Linked DNA regions of Drosophila melanogaster. Changing the gene in region 2 together with the main gene of any one other region gives a genetic interaction. Each region holds a gene or a part of one and is shown on either strand. Other genes may lie near its edges.

Evidence for each region. Genes that interact genetically often act in the same process or in processes that back each other up.
Region 1: of nmo (region 2) and px, changing one enhances a phenotype caused by changing the other (phenotypic enhancement), as found in Drosophila melanogaster (one study listed by BioGRID).
Region 3: of nmo (region 2) and mthl8, changing one enhances a phenotype caused by changing the other (phenotypic enhancement), as found in Drosophila melanogaster (one study listed by BioGRID).

The regions. Positions count from the first base shown.
Region 1 is NT_033778.4:22,558,822-22,564,057, reverse strand, and holds the start of px (plexus), read left to right. Parts: upstream 1-1,992; 5' UTR 1,993-2,139; exon of another isoform or gene 2,140-2,159; intron 2,160-2,915; 5' UTR 2,916-3,312; intron 3,313-5,236. Other genes in the region: CG11362 (uncharacterized protein), read right to left, coding at 1,269-1,564, 1,625-1,664.
Region 2 is NT_037436.4:7,977,295-7,982,634, forward strand, and holds the start of nmo (nemo), read left to right. Parts: upstream 1-1,751; 5' UTR 1,752-1,879; exon of another isoform or gene 1,880-2,215; 5' UTR 2,216-2,386; intron 2,387-3,105; 5' UTR 3,106-3,524; coding exon 3,525-3,688; intron 3,689-5,340. Other genes in the region: CG8209 (uncharacterized protein), read left to right, coding at 33-375; POP4 ribonuclease P/MRP subunit, read right to left, coding at 691-1,311.
Region 3 is NT_037436.4:20,241-27,052, reverse strand, and holds mthl8 (methuselah-like 8), read right to left. Parts: upstream 4,626-6,812; 5' UTR 4,571-4,625; intron 4,510-4,570; 5' UTR 2,861-4,509; coding exon 2,357-2,860; intron 2,302-2,356; coding exon 2,145-2,301; intron 1,965-2,144; coding exon 1,773-1,964; intron 1,713-1,772; coding exon 1,494-1,712; intron 1,435-1,493; coding exon 1,077-1,434; intron 1,024-1,076; coding exon 975-1,023; 3' UTR 745-974; downstream 1-744.

The sequences.
Region 1 (5,236 bases), on a different chromosome or scaffold from region 2:
ACCAACATGATTCACTAGTGCTCTATGACCACAACCTAAAAGGGGAACAAACCGACGAGGCAAGCAAGCAACTGGCAGCGTGCAACATGCCACGTGCAACGTGCAACATGTCACGTGCAACGTGGGTTTGAAATCGATTCGAAGCGGCGTAGTCAGTCTTTCAAACAATCTTAGCTCTATCTTTACTCAAGTATTCTAGCGACATAAGCAACTGAAACTTTAACTCTAACTCTAGCTGTAACTCTAATCTACAGAGTAGCCATATACACGATATATATATATACCTAATATATATATATATATACATATATTTACTATTTATAGATGTACGAACTTCGAGAAAGTGCTATTTAAACTCGTCTAAGACTTCACTGCATAGCCTATGCCTAGAATCTATAACTGCAGATTGTTTCATATTCATATACACACTGTATACTGTATACACATAGATATATTTACGATCGTTATAGATCAGCGATACCTTATACGATGTAGCCCTTGAATGTACAACATAGTTACTTACTAAATGTTAGCAATTTTACCAACTAAAACTCGAGATGTATTTATTAACGCCTAAACTCTTTAGTATTCCACCCTACCCAAAGGAACCTATATAAGAAGCCCCCCAAATTCTCATATATCTAACCATGGATACCTATTAAAAAACTATATGTTATAGCGTGTGTATATATAGGACAAGCGTACAATAATCGCAAACCCAAGGAGCAAAGTAGTACTAAGTACCTGCAAATCAAACAGAAAAACATAAACCGAAACTGAAACAGAACACGAAACACGAAAAGTATCTCTGCAGCGGATATTACATAGTCAATAGTAAATGTTAACAATGTTATACTATATATACATAGATCTATATATATATATAAATATATATATATATATATATACATATAAAAGAAACCAATGAAAAAACCTTAAATGTACCTTGTTATCTGTTGTTTATTATTTGGAAAGCAAATCTTCGTTTCTTGCCGTCTTTAGTTGAAAGCTTTCTGTGGCATATTTCTTTGTTCTTCCTTAACGAATTCTTCTATCATTTATCAGTTTTAATACTTCATTTCTTTTCTCCTTTGGCCTCGTTGCAAAACTGAATTCGAAATAAATGCTCTTGACCAAAAAATCTCATCAAGTTCCTCTCATTTGAAATCATCAAAACCTCATCGTCTTCTCCTTTCATTTTCTTATTTATGAGCGCGTTGGAATTCTTCTCACAGCTGGAAAATATATCAAAAAAGAACATACTACGCCTATGTAATGAGTCCAATGAATCTGCCAAAGGTCTCGATAAGAAACCGCATCATCTGCAAATTATCCATTTCTGGACTCAGCTTGAAGTACTGAGTAATCTTCGGTTTTCTCTTTCCCGGGATATCCCTGTCCACATTTGTAATGAGATGTTTTAAGTAATGCGGAATACTCTGAAGACCAAAGGGAATATTTTCGTTTTGCAGCAGGAACTCTTCGGTTTTCATAGTAACAGAATTATTTGGCACTGCCATTTTCACACTTATTTCGTTGGGAATAGCTGTTCCGAGTGTGATTCCTAAGCCGGCAGGGAAAATTCATTAGTAGAATTTATTTTATACATATGTTAATTGCTTACCCAAGAAAAAGTGCAGAATAAAAATCACTATTGAGTTCATTTTCAGACCTAATTATTTCTGTTACAATGTTCTGATTTTGGGTTGAGTTGTGACGCAAAGTATACTATTTGAAAACTTTACTTCGACGCTTAATTCGAACAATAGATTATTATAGATTCAAAGTTTATTTAAATTGAAATCTTTAAATCCCGTTATGTTACATTTTTGAATTGCGCGCCCAAATCTTCCACGAACGCGTTAGCACATAACTCAATTTGAGCCGCTTGTGAGCAACAGCTGATCCACTGCTCTTCTTCTTACACTCCAGACAATCGCAGCACGAAATCCAGCGATGTGGCAACACCGCCGGCCAGGTGGCAATTCTGCTGCGCAGTGTGCACACACTGGCAGCCACTGCTGGTTGGCTCTTCTTCTTGCAACTGCTGCAATTATATATCGCTGTTCCGTCGTCTCCGCCGATCCAACTCCGCGCAAAAAACCGCACATATATCGCTCAACGGTCCGCGAATAATCCGTAAATATTGCAATTGCACGGTGGGCACAAAAAACACGACAAAATAAAAGGCCCAACACAAAACAAACGGAAACTCACACGGACACACGCACACACACGCAGGCGAGCAGCTGACGCCGGCAGAGGCAGTGCAGCAGCAGCGACAGCGGCAGAGCAGCGACGGCAGCAACAAGCAACAAAAGCAAAAGGCAAACAATTGGATAAGCGCTATTAAGGTGTTAAAAAGGCAGCCAACTTAACAGTCCAAGAGTTCAGCTTGAAAAGCTAACGGTTCCAAGGTCGCAGCGCGAAAAAATCGAAAAAAAACACTCGCTTTTTAGCCGTCTTGTTGTTGTTTTGGCTGCTGCAACAGTTGCAGCCTATGCGTATGTGTGTGTGTGTGTGTTGTGTGGAATTGTGCGATCGCCATCGTCCGTTTCTCTCGCACTTGCTGCTAATAGTCGCCGGTGAAATGGTGTCGCCTTTCGCAGCCGACGTCGACGTCGCTGCCGACGACGGCGCAGAGACCACCACTGTGGCAATGAAACGCAATTTGTTGTTCTTGTTTCTGTAAAAATGTTTACAATGCGATCAAAATGCACTGGCAGAAATTAAGAGTGATAAGCATCAAATTTAGCCCATTAAAATTTGAAATTGTTAAAAGCGATGTGATAAAGTTTATAAACACAACTATAAGTTTGAAACACATAAGAATAAAATAAAATCTAACTTGCGCGAAATTCATTTTCTTATTTTAAACCTGTAATAGTGACCGAAAATTTTGAAATTCTTTCTAGATTGTTCAGCCACAACTGAAACATAAAATCGAAACCCTATTTTTACCAGCTTAACATGGGTAAAGTGAAACTTATAAGAAAACCATGAAGAATACCGTGAATGCTCAATTCAAAATTTGAAAATCCACTAGTGCTCTTAATAGCTTCAAAAGCAAGTGAAGAAATTTAGAATAAAGAGTGTGATAACCGAAAGAAACACCGAGAAACGCCGAGGAAAGTCTAGACAAGTGCCTGAAACCAAATGTGTTTGCCCCGAAGTTAAGTCCCTTCGATCCGCCCAAATCGGCTTTAATTCCCGTAAATCCCCTCTTCCGCCCAATAATTCCGCCACAAAAACAGGCACATGAGTTGGATTAATCGGAGTCAACTGGAATAGGCCGAAGCACCCGGAGCACAGGTCAGTATCGGAACAATCAGGCCATATCGACTGACATCAATCAGTTAAAACATTCAAATACCGTTTGCTCAATTGGACGGTTCGCCTTGAATCGGTTGAAACCGGTTGCCGATTACCGGTTCGCTTTAAAATTCAATTAATTTAAATCAATTCAGACCAGACAGTTTGGTTTCGTGTGGTTTCCATCACAAATATCCGCCGCGACCTAACTATTTCTAAAAAAATGCAATAAAAGATTGCACAATTCCTAGCAATCGAGGAATTTCAAGTGCTGTACAGCAAATCTGAATGATACTGATATTGACGCTTTTTAAGTGAAGGCATGACGAAAGTAAGACGTTTTTTACGGCATTTACAAAATGCTACTCAAAATATTAGGTTTTGATACGGAAAATCTCAATAGAATCTACCTTACATCATATGTAGATAAAATTTAAAAGTCTTTAATAATTTATGAGATTTTAAATACAAATGCTGAAGTTTGCCATCGAACGTAATTGCAGAATCCTAAGATATTATCATTGACAACTTATTGGGCTGCAAAGATAATATATAAAATATATATTCAATTATTATATTTGTCCAACTGATGGAATTAAATAATCATTAAAATGGTAATTTAATGAGGCGCTTTTGCAGAAAACAAAAGCAAACCGCATGGCGAATAAAACAAAAATCGAAATAAAAGCGATGATTTATGCAATATTCAAATATGCATTTCGCACAGGCACTCACACACACACACACACACACACATACATACAGATAGCATTTGGCTTGAACTTTAAAGAGCGACTACGGTTATTAATTTAACCTTTTTATTTGGCTTCACTTGGTTTAATTTGTGTCCAGCAGGTCCCAAAAACCTGAATGCGCTGATGGCCAGCTCCGCAAATCCCTGAGCCCCTCTTAGCTGTCCGGTTTTTTTTATTTTTTTATTTTTTGGGCGCCCTTAATGGAAAAAATGTTGAGCGGTCTTTTTGCGATTCTCCTCTCGGCTTAATCCCATTTTTGAATACCCTAGCAATAGGGCTTATAACTTCGTTAAAATGGTGAAATACTCTAAATAAAAACATAAAACATATATGAACTTATTTGATTTCAAACTCCAAATGTTGCATGCTTTTAAGCATTTTAAAACCATTCGGTTTTTTGATCTCCATAAGATGTTCCTTATTCCTTGTATATTTCGATTCATCGCACATCCATAGATGATTGATACTGTGCGTATCCGATAGGGTATTCTTAATTCCGATTCGTACATATACCATTTTATACTCGTTCCCCATTGTTTTTGCGTCTGTTTACGTTGAACTGGGGGCCACTGAAATGGAATCGAGGAGAAGGGTGCCCAAAAGGAAAACGACGTCCTGCCATAAAATTGCATGTCCAAGTTGTTTTATTTGATTATGCGATCGTGTGTGTGTGTGTGTGTGTGTGTGTGTGTGTGTGTGGATTTTTGTTGCTGTGCTCGTTTTTTTTTTTTTTTTTGCTGCAAGAGTTTATTGCGCGGAATGCTATTTAATAAATTCCATTTTCTCTGTCATTTTGCCGTGTTTTTGTTTTTGCATCTCGGGCAGGATTTATGTTCTTGCTTTTGTTAGCGCTGTTTCCGCTTTCCATCTTGTTTGTTTGCCCGATGCAAATTTAAAAAATTCAATTTCCCTGGTAACTCCAATTGCGTCAAAGGCCAGCCAAAAGTTGCGGAAATGTGAATTATGTGCATCCGTTGCAATATGCACAGCGTGCTTCTTGGCTCGCTGCGATTTCATATTTCACTGCTGGATTTATTACTAATTTTGTTCCCCATTTTTGGCCCCTTTAATGCAGTTTACTTCCCGCGGCGCTCGCTTTTCCTTGGCTGAAAAACTGGCACAGAAATACTAGGATAGATAAAAAAAAGCGACGAACAATAAAGACGGCA
Region 2 (5,340 bases):
CTTCATAATTCATTATAATTCATGGTATGCAGAGAACAAAAGGAATTGGGCAACGCAGAGCCAGCTCCATCCGTGAGCTCCACCACAGTTTCGTCACCACCGGCCGGTGTGAAATCTCCGCCGCGAGACTACACCGAAACCCGCATCCAGGTGCGCCTGCAGGATGGCTCAACACTACAGGAAACCTTCAACGTCAAGGAGCAGCTGTCCGCCGTACGTGTGTTCATCCAGATGAAGACCGGCATCGAGTCGCCCTTCTCTCTGATGACCACCTTTCCGCGCAAGCTGTTCGCCGAGGACGACTACGAGAAGCCGCTGGAAGTGCTCGGCTTGGTTCCATCCGCTGTCATCACCATGACCAAGACGCCCGCATAAATCTTTCCTACAAACTGGATATATTTGAATCCGGGTAATCTCTCCCATAAACTAGAACCTAAATACGAAAAAAACGCGGCGCGAAATATACCCCCCCCCCCCCAAAAAAAAAAAAAAAAAACAAGAAAAACAATTAATGTACGGTTTTATATATATATTAAACACAACAATCTCAAATACAAGTAAAGTTTTAGAGGATCTTTGAGGGCAATTATTAAATTTCTATTGAAAAGCGATGCTAACTTTCCAATAAACTTTTTTCCTTAAATTACAATAGGATTCAATTTCTATGGCTAATGATTGGTCCTGTAGTTCCTACATGAAGGGCTTCACAAAGTTCTTGATCTTCTTAACGCTTCGCTCGGCGGGTCGAATGTTGAGGTGCTGCCCGAATATGGTGAACTCCATGTTGCCCACTTTCATACCAAAGACGCACTCGCTCTTGGGTATTGTGCGCAGCCGATGGTCCTTGCCGAGCAGTTTCAGCACGTTCTTGGTGTCCATGACGCAGATGCCAGCCAAATTTTCCAGGGTGGAGCACTTGGACTGCAGCACCTTCATCTTGGCACCGTGCAAGTCCAGTTTCACCAACTTGCGGCTGAACTCGTCGTAGCGAGCATCGTGCACCTGGGGCACCTCGTCACCTTCCCTCAGCTCCAGATGCTCGCGTACATAGCCCTTCCACAGGTGGTGCAGTGGCAGTGCCTCCTCGTACTTCATCTGCTTGGTGGGAAGAGTGTTCAAACCAAGTGCCGCATATTCCCGGCGACTCAGCGTACTGGATTTGTGGGCGCGACGTTTTCGGGAGTGCTGCTTCTTGATCTTGGTGCCCTCCAGCATTGTGATGTGATCCGGATTGATGTTAACATTGCAACGCTGGTGCGGAATCACCAGATCTGAGATAAATTCCCTCAATTCACTTGTCGCGTGTTCCATTGCGTTGTTATTTAGTTTTATTTATTTGGTGATCAACAATATATCGATAGGCGCGGAACTCTATCGATGGAAGAAAAGGCGATATATTAATATTATTTTTTCAGATGCATAGCTGCATGTGCACTTCGTATAATACAAGCTAAATAATAATTATTGCTATTAATTATTAGAAACTGTATGTACCTGCAATTTTTCATATTCAACGCTGCAATTTAAAAATAACGTACATTCGGGGCAATCTGGCGTTGCCATCCTGCTTTTGCATTTGAAATGTCATAAAATACAAAAAATACCAACGAAATAGAGATGGAAATAGATATAGTGCGGGCACTCTAAAAACATCGATAGCCAAACCTTGAATTAATATACGAGTGGAAAACATCGGACCTATCGATGTTTCTATCGGTGGCCGACCACCTCTAGCAACGCCGAACATATGTTTCAAGTCTCTCTCAACTTTCGAACGGAGCGGAACGTCGAGCGCACGAATTCGGAATTATCGTTGAAACAAACGTCGCCGCGTGTGATCGAAAATCCAAGTTAGGCTCATTCGTTGGGAAGCTGCGAGGTAATCAAACGCCAACCGACGACCAACATCCGCCCGCCCCCCTTTTAGCCACGCCCCGCGGCCCGTGTGATAACAAAGATAATGCAATAAAGGGCAACCGTAGAAAAAAAGCTGTGAGAGAGCCAAGAAACGTGACCCAGGCAAAATTTTGTTTGTTTGTCTGGCTCTGCATATACATGTACATAGTTTAAACGTGCGTGCGATTGTGTATGCGCGTGTGTGTGAGCAGCCGTCGCGTTAGTAGTAGTAACACGCCAAACAACAAAAAATTCATCTCGCGTTATTTACAATAATAATTAAACAAAATTACAAAATTGTTTCCGTCTCGCCCGCTAGTTCACTCTCTCTCACACACACACGCACGAATATTACCCCCGGCGCGTTTTACTTCCATCTCGCTCCCACAAAGGCGGAAGAGTTAAACACAAAAAAAAAAGAAAAATAGAAAAGAAATTATAAACGAAAAACTGCCACCGCCGCTGCTCAATAATTTGTGCATTTTTTAAGGTAATTTAAAGTGAAATGGAATGTCTTGTTTGCATAGGTTAGGTTTAATTAGTCCGGAAAGCTAAGCGAAACCCTGGGAAATATTACATATCCCCGGGCGAATTTCTTTTGTCCCGTTACTTTTCGATTTTCATGCGAGCGTTTTTTGATTGCGTTCATTTTCTGGCGACTTGGGGGTGCTCGCCATTGTTTGGTTTTCAACATTTGTAAATTTGCATGAAAAGTCGGATTTTAAGTGATTTTTGTGTCTTTTGAGCGGCTTTTTGCGCAGGCAGCGCAGTCCGAAAATCACTCAGAATCGCACTCACATGCGCACACACTTACAATTGTAATACACGGACGCGCCCCGGTCGCGACAGCTAACGGCACTTTTCATGTCCTCTCGCGCGCTCTCTCTCACTGTTCTCCTCTCTTCTTTCTTTTTGATTCCTGTGCAGCATCATTTGCCACCAAAAATTCGAAAAGCAAACAAAAGTAACGACAATTAAAGTACAGTGAATAATACCAAAACCGGATTAAATTAAATCTAGCTTTTACAGAATATACAAAATATTGAGCCTAGTGGTAACTAGTAACTAGTGGTCGAATAGGAAATCAATTCTCAATAGTTTTCTTGCGTACTGTGAAAATAAATCAAGATTGTAAATTCTGTTAGCAACGTTTAAATTATTCACAATTCAACTGTCTACAAATGATTATTTATCCACTTCACTCCGCAGTTTCATCACAATGTCCTCAAATCTAATTTAAATAAGTAAGAAGTGTAACAAGCGACACGCAGCGAAACAAATAGCGCTGAATAGAGGAGCACGCCAAGGCAAACAGCAACAAATGGCCAACAATTGAATGGCGGCCATCAGTTGGCCCCAGCGGCATCCATTGAGCAATCAACACCATTTCTCCCACATCAAATCAAGCACCACTTCCAGCAACACCATCACCTCAACCACCTCAGTCACCACCGCCGTCACAGCTTTGGGAATCAGAACCACAGTCCAAGACCCAGTCGAAACCACCACCACCACCAGTAAAAGCCACAGCCTAGCAGGACCACAACCACTGAGCTCCATCGCCAACAAATACCAGAACCGGGTGCAGCTGCTCGAATTATTTGGAAAACTTGCCGCGTAGTCCATCAATGAGCGTTTCGATGTCACTGGTACAGGGTGGTGCTGCCGGTGGTGCGCCACAGGGCGCCAGCGCAATCTTGGCCGCAGCGGCTCCCTACTATCAACCGCCGGCTGTTCCCCAGGATGTTCAGCCGGATCGTCCTATCGGCTATGGAGCATTCGGAGTTGTCTGGTAAGTATAATGATTCTATATCTCAGTGCAATAATCCAGATTATGGGCGAAGGGTGTTGCCATAGTATTGGTACAATCAAATTTTTTCTTGGTTTAGCAAGCATGGTTATTTTCGGGTTGTTTTGCTGGTTGTCCAAAGACATCCCGCCGAAATGGGCAATTATATTTGAGAATTATAAGACAATAGGTGGTATAGAATGCAGAAAAGGGTGTATTAACGTCATATCCTATTATATGCTTGTGCCCCTTAAAGAATTCATGTAATGATAATTTGTAAATGATTTCATTATAAACACATTCGGTTAAAAAGTTGTAAGACCGACTTCGAATCCAAATGTTAATACCCTCCTGTCAATGTACTTTTATAATTCAAATATCTAAAGATTAAACAGTTGTTCTTTGACTTGAAAAAGTCTTTGTTCTATTCGAAGAAAGGGTATCTGCAGCGTCGTTACTTTGCTGTGCGATTTTATGTCACGGTCTCGCCGTGGGTTCAGCAACCTTCTGCTTAGGCCTTTGATTCTGTAACCCTTTTGATTGTGTTGCTGCTGTTGATGTTGATGTTTTGTGCAGCGGGCAACGTCAACATCCTCGTACTCATTTCGATTCAGAACCTCAGTCCCGGGTCTCAGCTAGCTGTCCTTCATGGTTTTGTGCCTTTGTGCAGTTTTCAACGTTGCTGCGGCCCCCCGAGGGTGGATTTTTCCTATAATATATTTCTTACCCTAAGCGCGCTGGCTGGCTGACTGGCTGGCTCTCCGTGTTTTGGCCTCCCTCCCCCCCCCTCAATTTGGACTTTTCTATTTGCCCATCTCCTCGTTTATCGGCCTCTCTCTGCTTTTTTTTTTCTATCCCCTCGACTCTTTTGATTTACATTTGTGTGCAAAATTTTACATTAATGGTTGCTTAAATGGGGTGAGCATTGAATATTTGTTTGTTTACTGGGTAAAGTAAAATATCTAATATGGATTAGCAACATTTTGTTATCAATGTAACCGAAAAGCTGCAAATCTATCAAGCAAATGATTTTAACATAGCACAAAAAAAGGTGGCAATATGAAATCATCATATCTATTTATTATTTAACTCGACTTCCTATCAATTTATTCGTAGTGTAGCCAGAAGTTTGGCAACGCTGCATTTACAAATTTCATTCACGTGTAAAACGGCATTTCCGGCTATAATCAAAACGCAAAGTGAGCCCAGTTTATCGGGCGGGTCTTTTGAGGAGTGCTGCCGGTGGGGGAGTGGTCGTCGTTGGTCGTCCGCAGGGAAGCCAGTTAAAAACTGGCACACAAGGGGCCCCGATGGTTTAGGCACAAGGAAGTGGAAGTCCGAAGACGAGCCACAAGTGGAGGAGCCCAGTGAAATACACAAAGCGTGGCGGGGCTAGTGGAAACTATGGGAGGCTAGAAGAGGCCCAAGAAGAGGCCCAAGTATATCCCTCGATACACCGCCTTCCCTTTGGCCAACTGAAAGTGGAGCCCGCGAAATGAAGTCGTTGACGTTCGGATTGGCTTCACACAGCAGTCTTTAGTAGCAACGGGTCTACCAGTTGCTAACTTGCAATAATATTCATTTACTTTCAAAGTTACACCATTGTAAGCCATTGCCCCAAGTCTAAAAAGCTGCATACTATGCTATTATTAATC
Region 3 (6,812 bases), 8.0 Mb from region 2:
TTGTGCCATGTTATTTCCAGCTTCCATTACTACGAGCATTTTTACTACGTTTTATCGATCCATCTGCTTTCCTTGTCTATCTCTATATTCTTAGACCTCTCTTAGTGTGTACCCCGAGTCCTGCTGCTGTACGCCCAGCCAAAAAGAGCAGGACCAAAACCCGAAGCATAATCGGCATGAAAATGAATTGGGGACTCCGACCCGGGTGGGTTTTCTGCGATTAGGCCTTGGCAAGGGGGTGTACAGGGGGAAAGTTTGCGAAGCCTTTTCAAAAGAGCACCACCAACATTCCACTTGATTCCTTGCTCTTGACAGCCCCCTGTCGGGATGCAGTTCTCGTGGCTCTGACCAACTTTCTCTCTCTCTCTCTCTGTCTGTTTTGCGGCCATTGACCTCTGATGTTAAATAAAATCGGCGCACATTTATAATATAGAGAGATCGGGGAAGTAACACCGGGCTTGGCGATGCGGATAGGGTACAGTAAAATCGGGACTTGAAATAAGACTGGAGAAACTTGATCACGGTCCAGGAATTTGGAACTCAAGAAAGGTGAAGGATAAATTGTTGGAGGCGTAAACTCAAGAAAACTGCTCAAATTGTTTAGAATATTAATATGTTATGTGTTCTTTCACATGGCTTAAGTATATTCCATGTTTTGTTCTATACTGAAAGGATTGTTGGGACTTGTTATCATATTTAACAATTGTAGAAATTCCAGACCTGATTTTTTTTTCAGATATATTTATTTTTTGTATCTTTATTATCGTAATTTCGTTTAAAGGGTAGAAGTGTACTTTTTTGTTCGAGTTCAAATTTTACAAATATATTTTACACACATCCTACAAAATTTTACATTTAAAATACATGGTTTTTGTCTATGCTGATAAGTGATTTTAAAAACATTGCACAGATATTGTCGATACACTCAACTGCTTCCAGTTACACTAACGCTACAGTGGGCACAACAAGAAAAGTTAACCAAAACTCGAGAGCGGAACTGAGTTTTCACAGGTATCTTCGCCACTGCAACAGTATATATTAACAGTAGTACTTAAAATTCATAGTTATCAACTTACTTATCTATGCGCCGCAGAAAATTTTGGATTTGCTGATTCTTTCCAATCAGCGCATAGAGGGCCGCAAACCCGTGGAAGGCCATGCAGAAGCTTACAGCGTAGTTAAGGTGGGATCTGTTCTCCCAGTAGTAGTTAAAGGCAAAGGAGCATATGCAAACGACCCATACGACTGCCGTGTAGCCAAAGTACTTCCAAAATGATTTGAATCGGTTCTTCTCTATGGACTCGAAGCTCTTCTCCGTCTCGATATCTGGCTGATCACGGATGTAGATCTGGCTCAGGACATAGAAGAAACCGCTAATGGCGCAAGCCACGAAAACAGGAGCGTAAAAATATATCATAACGGACCAATTGCGTGCTAGCGATGTGGAATACCAATTAATTATTATAAAACATATATGGATTGGCAGTGCTTACGATCAAACCAGCATGTATCGCCTCCGAAGATGAGCCTAGAGCCGTAATAACTGAAACCCACAAAGAAAGACCAGCCCACGGCTACCAGTACGATGGGAGTAAATATTAGCCAAAACATCAGTTTTGTGAAGACAACGCCATAAAAGCTCAAGTACAGCTTAAATGCAATAAAGCTCAGAATGTAAAAGGAAAGCACCAAGTTCATCAACGCCAAACTTGCTAAAAAAAAAAAAGAAGGGAATGTTTAAATATCACAGAATACTCAAATTTACCACTTACGTAGAATACGACAAGCCGCATTTGAGAGATTTGCTGGGTTGTGGAGCGTGAGATAAGCCAGTAGGGCATATCCCAAGATCATACAAATGGCGTACGCCTTTATGGCCACACCGTAGAAACTGTTGCGCATTTCCGAACACATAAGGTAGACCATCAGCACGATAAACATTGATAGAATAGCTATCAAGAGACCTGGAAAGTGAATACGCTGGGTAAATTAAATTCTGACTATCAAACTATTAATGCTATCATCGATTGTTTTTTGGTGCTTTAGCAATTACTTTTATGTATTGTTGTGAAAACAGTATTGTGCATATTTGGGATAATGAATTGCTGAAAGTTGCTGGAAAAATGTTTCCTCTTGCTACTTACATATGGCGTATGTCCACTCCCGCACCCCCAAGACGAAATATAGTTTTTCTGGTGCACAGGCCAATGGCTGCCACTCCCAGGTGGAGTTCCCATGGAGCAGCGGAGTGAAGCAGTAATGCTTAGAAAATATGTGTCCTCGGTGGCTGATGGTTCCGTTCTGAAAAGGCGATGTAAAGCCATTAATGTGATGGAAGGTTTATTTCACAACCGACCTCATGAAGTGTCCAGTGAACGTATTCCGAGCCCTTGGTTACGGCTTTCATGTGCTCACATGGTGTTTCCACGTGGATGCTAAAACGGGGTTGCAGTTTCACTAGACGCAGACTGCCGTTGCCCAACTCCACCTCCATATGGCTATGGGAGGGAAGGCTGGACACCCCGGCCACAGGGACTAAGCACTGCCTCTTCTCCAGGTCGTAGATTTCTCCCCGTAAACAGCAAATCCGTACACAGGGTTTGGTCTTACAGACACAGGCTCTGAGATGCCTGCTTGCGGGGATGCGGATGCCATTTTCGATGACAAAGTCGTACACGGCTACGAAGTGACGGGGAATCACCGTCCAGTTGTGCACAAATGGGCCATCTAAGCCGTAGCTCCCCGTTATGTTTGCCGTATCGATAAAGGCACACGGATAATGTGTCTCTTCATGGAATCCCCACGAGCAGTGTGTTCCAGAAAGAATGAGGAGGACTCCAAGAATGCAGAACTGCGCCATTTGAGAGACTTTCTCAACTGACGATTTTTGTATTTTGCTCCGAAAACCGATTTGTTTACGCTTGAACGTCCAATTTATGCTTGTTTACCTTCAGACAATTTCCAAACGAAAATCGAATCGTATCGAAATGTAGGGTGTAAGAAATTAAACAAAATAGACTATATAGACACCGAATAGTAAAGCACTGATGACGTCACTGGGTGCATGAAGTTAATTGAGTGATCGGATCATTATCTTCTCCTAGCACGGTCCAAACTTGGACTGTGAACGAAATCCAAATCCCAGCGAACTCAATCGAAGGTAGTGTGTAGTGCTCTACTGAGGCACGGCACAACGCAACCCACTTTGCGAGAAACTTGCGGATATTGTTTACAACAACCAAAGTAAAAGTCCGAAAACTAACAGATCGATCAGGAAATGCCCTACTCCAGCAGCTGTGTTCACGAATTTAAAATCTGGATCCCCAACTGTATATCCCGGATTAATTTCGAAATTAAGCGTATGGTAAAAGTACACTATTTTTGTGTTTTAGAAAGCTCAGATTATACAAGTAAACATTGTCGATAGTTTTCGTTCCTAATCTTTCTGCAGCGTCTTACAAGTAAAACGTTCTTATCGGCATATTTTCTTCTCAACAAAAAGTGCCATTTTGTTTGGCGTCTTTTAAAAAATTCGTTTTATAGTGTCCTTTGGCAGAGGGTTTTCGCATTTTATAATAACGAGGTACAAGAGGAAAGGTAAGAGATACAGTCACAGATTTGATTTAAAAATCAGGAAAACCAGATAAGCAGGTACTGATGATGACTAATCCATTGCCATTTAAAATTATAATGTAAATCGCCCTGTCTGCATGACTTGACAGGATTATGTTATTTTTTGCCTTAGTCGGGCCAAGTTGCGGTCGCAAGCGGATTTTAACGGGTTTCAGTTGGCCACTTTTTGACTTTAAATGTCTCTTTAATGGTTCCCGAGATGTCGGCTTGTTTGTAAATCATTTAACAGCTCAGCTGCATCTACAGGTTTCCCCTTCCAGAAATTTTGAAATTCTTTACGCAGACTTTCCACAACAAGGTCGTCAAGGGTGCCATGCGGTAAAAGTTAGCGGGGCTGAACACCAAGTAGATAAACTTCCGCAACAGGCTGCGGGGGAGAGGATTTCTGTGCGTCAAAGCTAGGCACAAAGGCCACAACATTGGGATCGAACTGGGATTGGTTTTCAACTGGGATTGGTTTTCCACCTGTTCCACTCCAAAATCACTGTTGTCCTCGCTGTACACGTGCCCGTCTTCCTGACGGAGATACTAGATTCATCACGCGATTCCATCTGCTGCTGTTGATATTGCTCGGCCAACTGGTATGACTCCTTGCCTGCAGGACGACTATCTCATTCGTTGAAGTAGTAGACTTTAAATTGGTGAAGACCTGATTATCTTTGATCACTTTATTGTGGTCTTCTTCCTAAACCAGATTGAAGCCACCGGTAGTTTAATGCTGGTGGACTAGATTTGGAGCAGTTTTCCTCAGAGCGTCTTCAAGATGTGATGCTCTTTTGCGCATCCGAAAATCTGTGCACTTTCGGAAAGTCCGTACTGCACGTAGTGGTGCAATTGACCGGTGTCTTTATGGTGTTCCATACCTGTGGGATTTATCTGAAATATTGTATACGTAAAAGAACGTTAATTTGTGGTCCCTACTGATTTGTACACTTACACCAACGTATTAACTCTTGCTGCATAAAAGGCTTGTGTTTTCGGTTAACTCTGATGGCTCTTTGTTGTGAATTGCTTGCCAACCGATTCTGATGAAATACCGACAGCAGACCGTTCATAAATATACCAAATTTTATGTTTTTAGTATATGTCAAATATCAGCCGTCCGATAATTCGATAATTTTCAATAAACCTAATTATACAACTGTCAGTATTTCTTGACGAACGGTCTGTCCTCAGTATTTTTACACAACCCAGATATGGTAACTGTTTGTTTTACGCACTCTTAGCGCAAAGAGCTATCTAGATTTAATGAATACTGATTTGTAAACTTACACCAACGTATTAACTCTTGCTGCAACATTGTTGATTTGTGTTTTCGGTTTGCTCTGATAGCTCTTCGTTGTGAATTGCTTGCCAACCGATTCTGCTGAAATTCCGAAAGCAGACCGTTCATAAATTTACCAAGTTTTATGTTTTTGTAGTATATTTCAAATATAAGCCGTCCTAAAATTCAATTAATTTTTAAATTAACCTAATTATACAATAACTGTCAGTATTTCTTGACGAACGGTCTGTCATCAGTATTTTTACACAAACCAGATATGGTAACTTTGTTATACGCACTCCTAGCGTAAAGGGTTATACTAGTGTCAATGAAATGTATGTAACTGGTAGAAGGAAGCGTTTCCGAACTTATAAAGTATATATATTTCTGATCAGGATCAATTGTCGAGTCGATCTGGCCATGTTCGTCCGTCTGTCGGTATAAAGATTAGATCTTAGGAACCCGTCTTTTGAAAAATGTTTTGATATTTTTTTATATATTTTTTTAGTCTTGCAAACTTCTATCGGCTAGCCAAAAATTGTTTGGGCAGGCCCACTCAGACGCACACAAACCACACAAAACTGTTATGCCCACACTTTTGAACAATATTTAAATTAATTTTTATTGTATTATTTTTTCCCCATTTCTACCAATATTCCTAAAAAATATTTAAATTTCTCTTTTACGCTTCTAACTGATTAACTGGTACCTGGAGTCAGGAGCTCGACTACTGCATTCTCTCTTGTTTTCCCTGTGGATGTGAGCGAAAGTCAATCTTCAAGCAATTAAAATATGTTACACGTCTGGTGGGAGTAAGATAGAAAAATTTCAATAGAATAGAAATGGCAGGAAATTTAAAAAAATATTGAACTTTTTTATAAAAGTATTGGTAGGAGCGGAATTGCTTCAGACATTTCAATAGATATTCACAACTTAATTAAAAAAAAAAAAAAACAAAAATATATTAGCTAATACCCTAATACATATATGTACCTAAATACAAAATTTAGTTCATAATACGAAAAATTTATTTATATTCAAAATTTTCTATTTGTTAAAAATAAAGATTTTGGGAACGGTTGCATTGTTACGGAAAAGGTTAAAGTTTATAATATAAGCATAGTTTATTTTGTTCGATTTTTTGCAAGTAATTTTTGATATAGTCTATTCATGATCTGTAACCGCAGTTAAAATGTACCAAGATTAGCGTACAAGTTTTTTATATTATAAAATAGGAAAAGGAATCGATTTGTTTCCACAGATTTACGAGAAGAAACAACATAAAAATGCTATATTCGAGTTCCCCAAATATCAGAAACCCGTTCGTGTGAACGAAATTTCATCATTTTTCTGGGATATCGAAAGATACTGGCAATAAAATAAGAAAAAATTTAACGATTGTTAGAAAGTGTGGGCGTAACCGGTTCGGCTGCTTTAGGGCGCTAGAGTGGGCGTGGAAAAAAGTTTTTTGGCAAGTCGATAGAAATCTACACGACTACTAAAATTATATTAAAATATTGAAAAATGGTTCAAAAATGTGGGCGTAGCTGTTTTGGGCTGTTATTTATTAAATTTTGAAAAAATATCGAAGAATGGTTAAAAAATGTGGGCATGGCAAATTTTTTTTTGAAGAGTGATAGAAATTTACAAAGTTAATAAAATGTGAAAAAAATAGGAAAAATGGTTTAAAAATGTGGGCATGGCAGTTTTGTGCGGTTTGTGGACGTTAGAATGGGCGTGACAACATGGGTCACCAAACTTGCACTGCGTCCTTGTCTCTAGAATCTATATGCTGCTTAATCTCAACCTTCTTGATTTTATAGTTCTTGAGATCTCGACGTTCATACGAACAGACGGACATGGCTAGATCGCCTCGGCTTTTGATTATGATCAAAAATATATATACTTTATATAG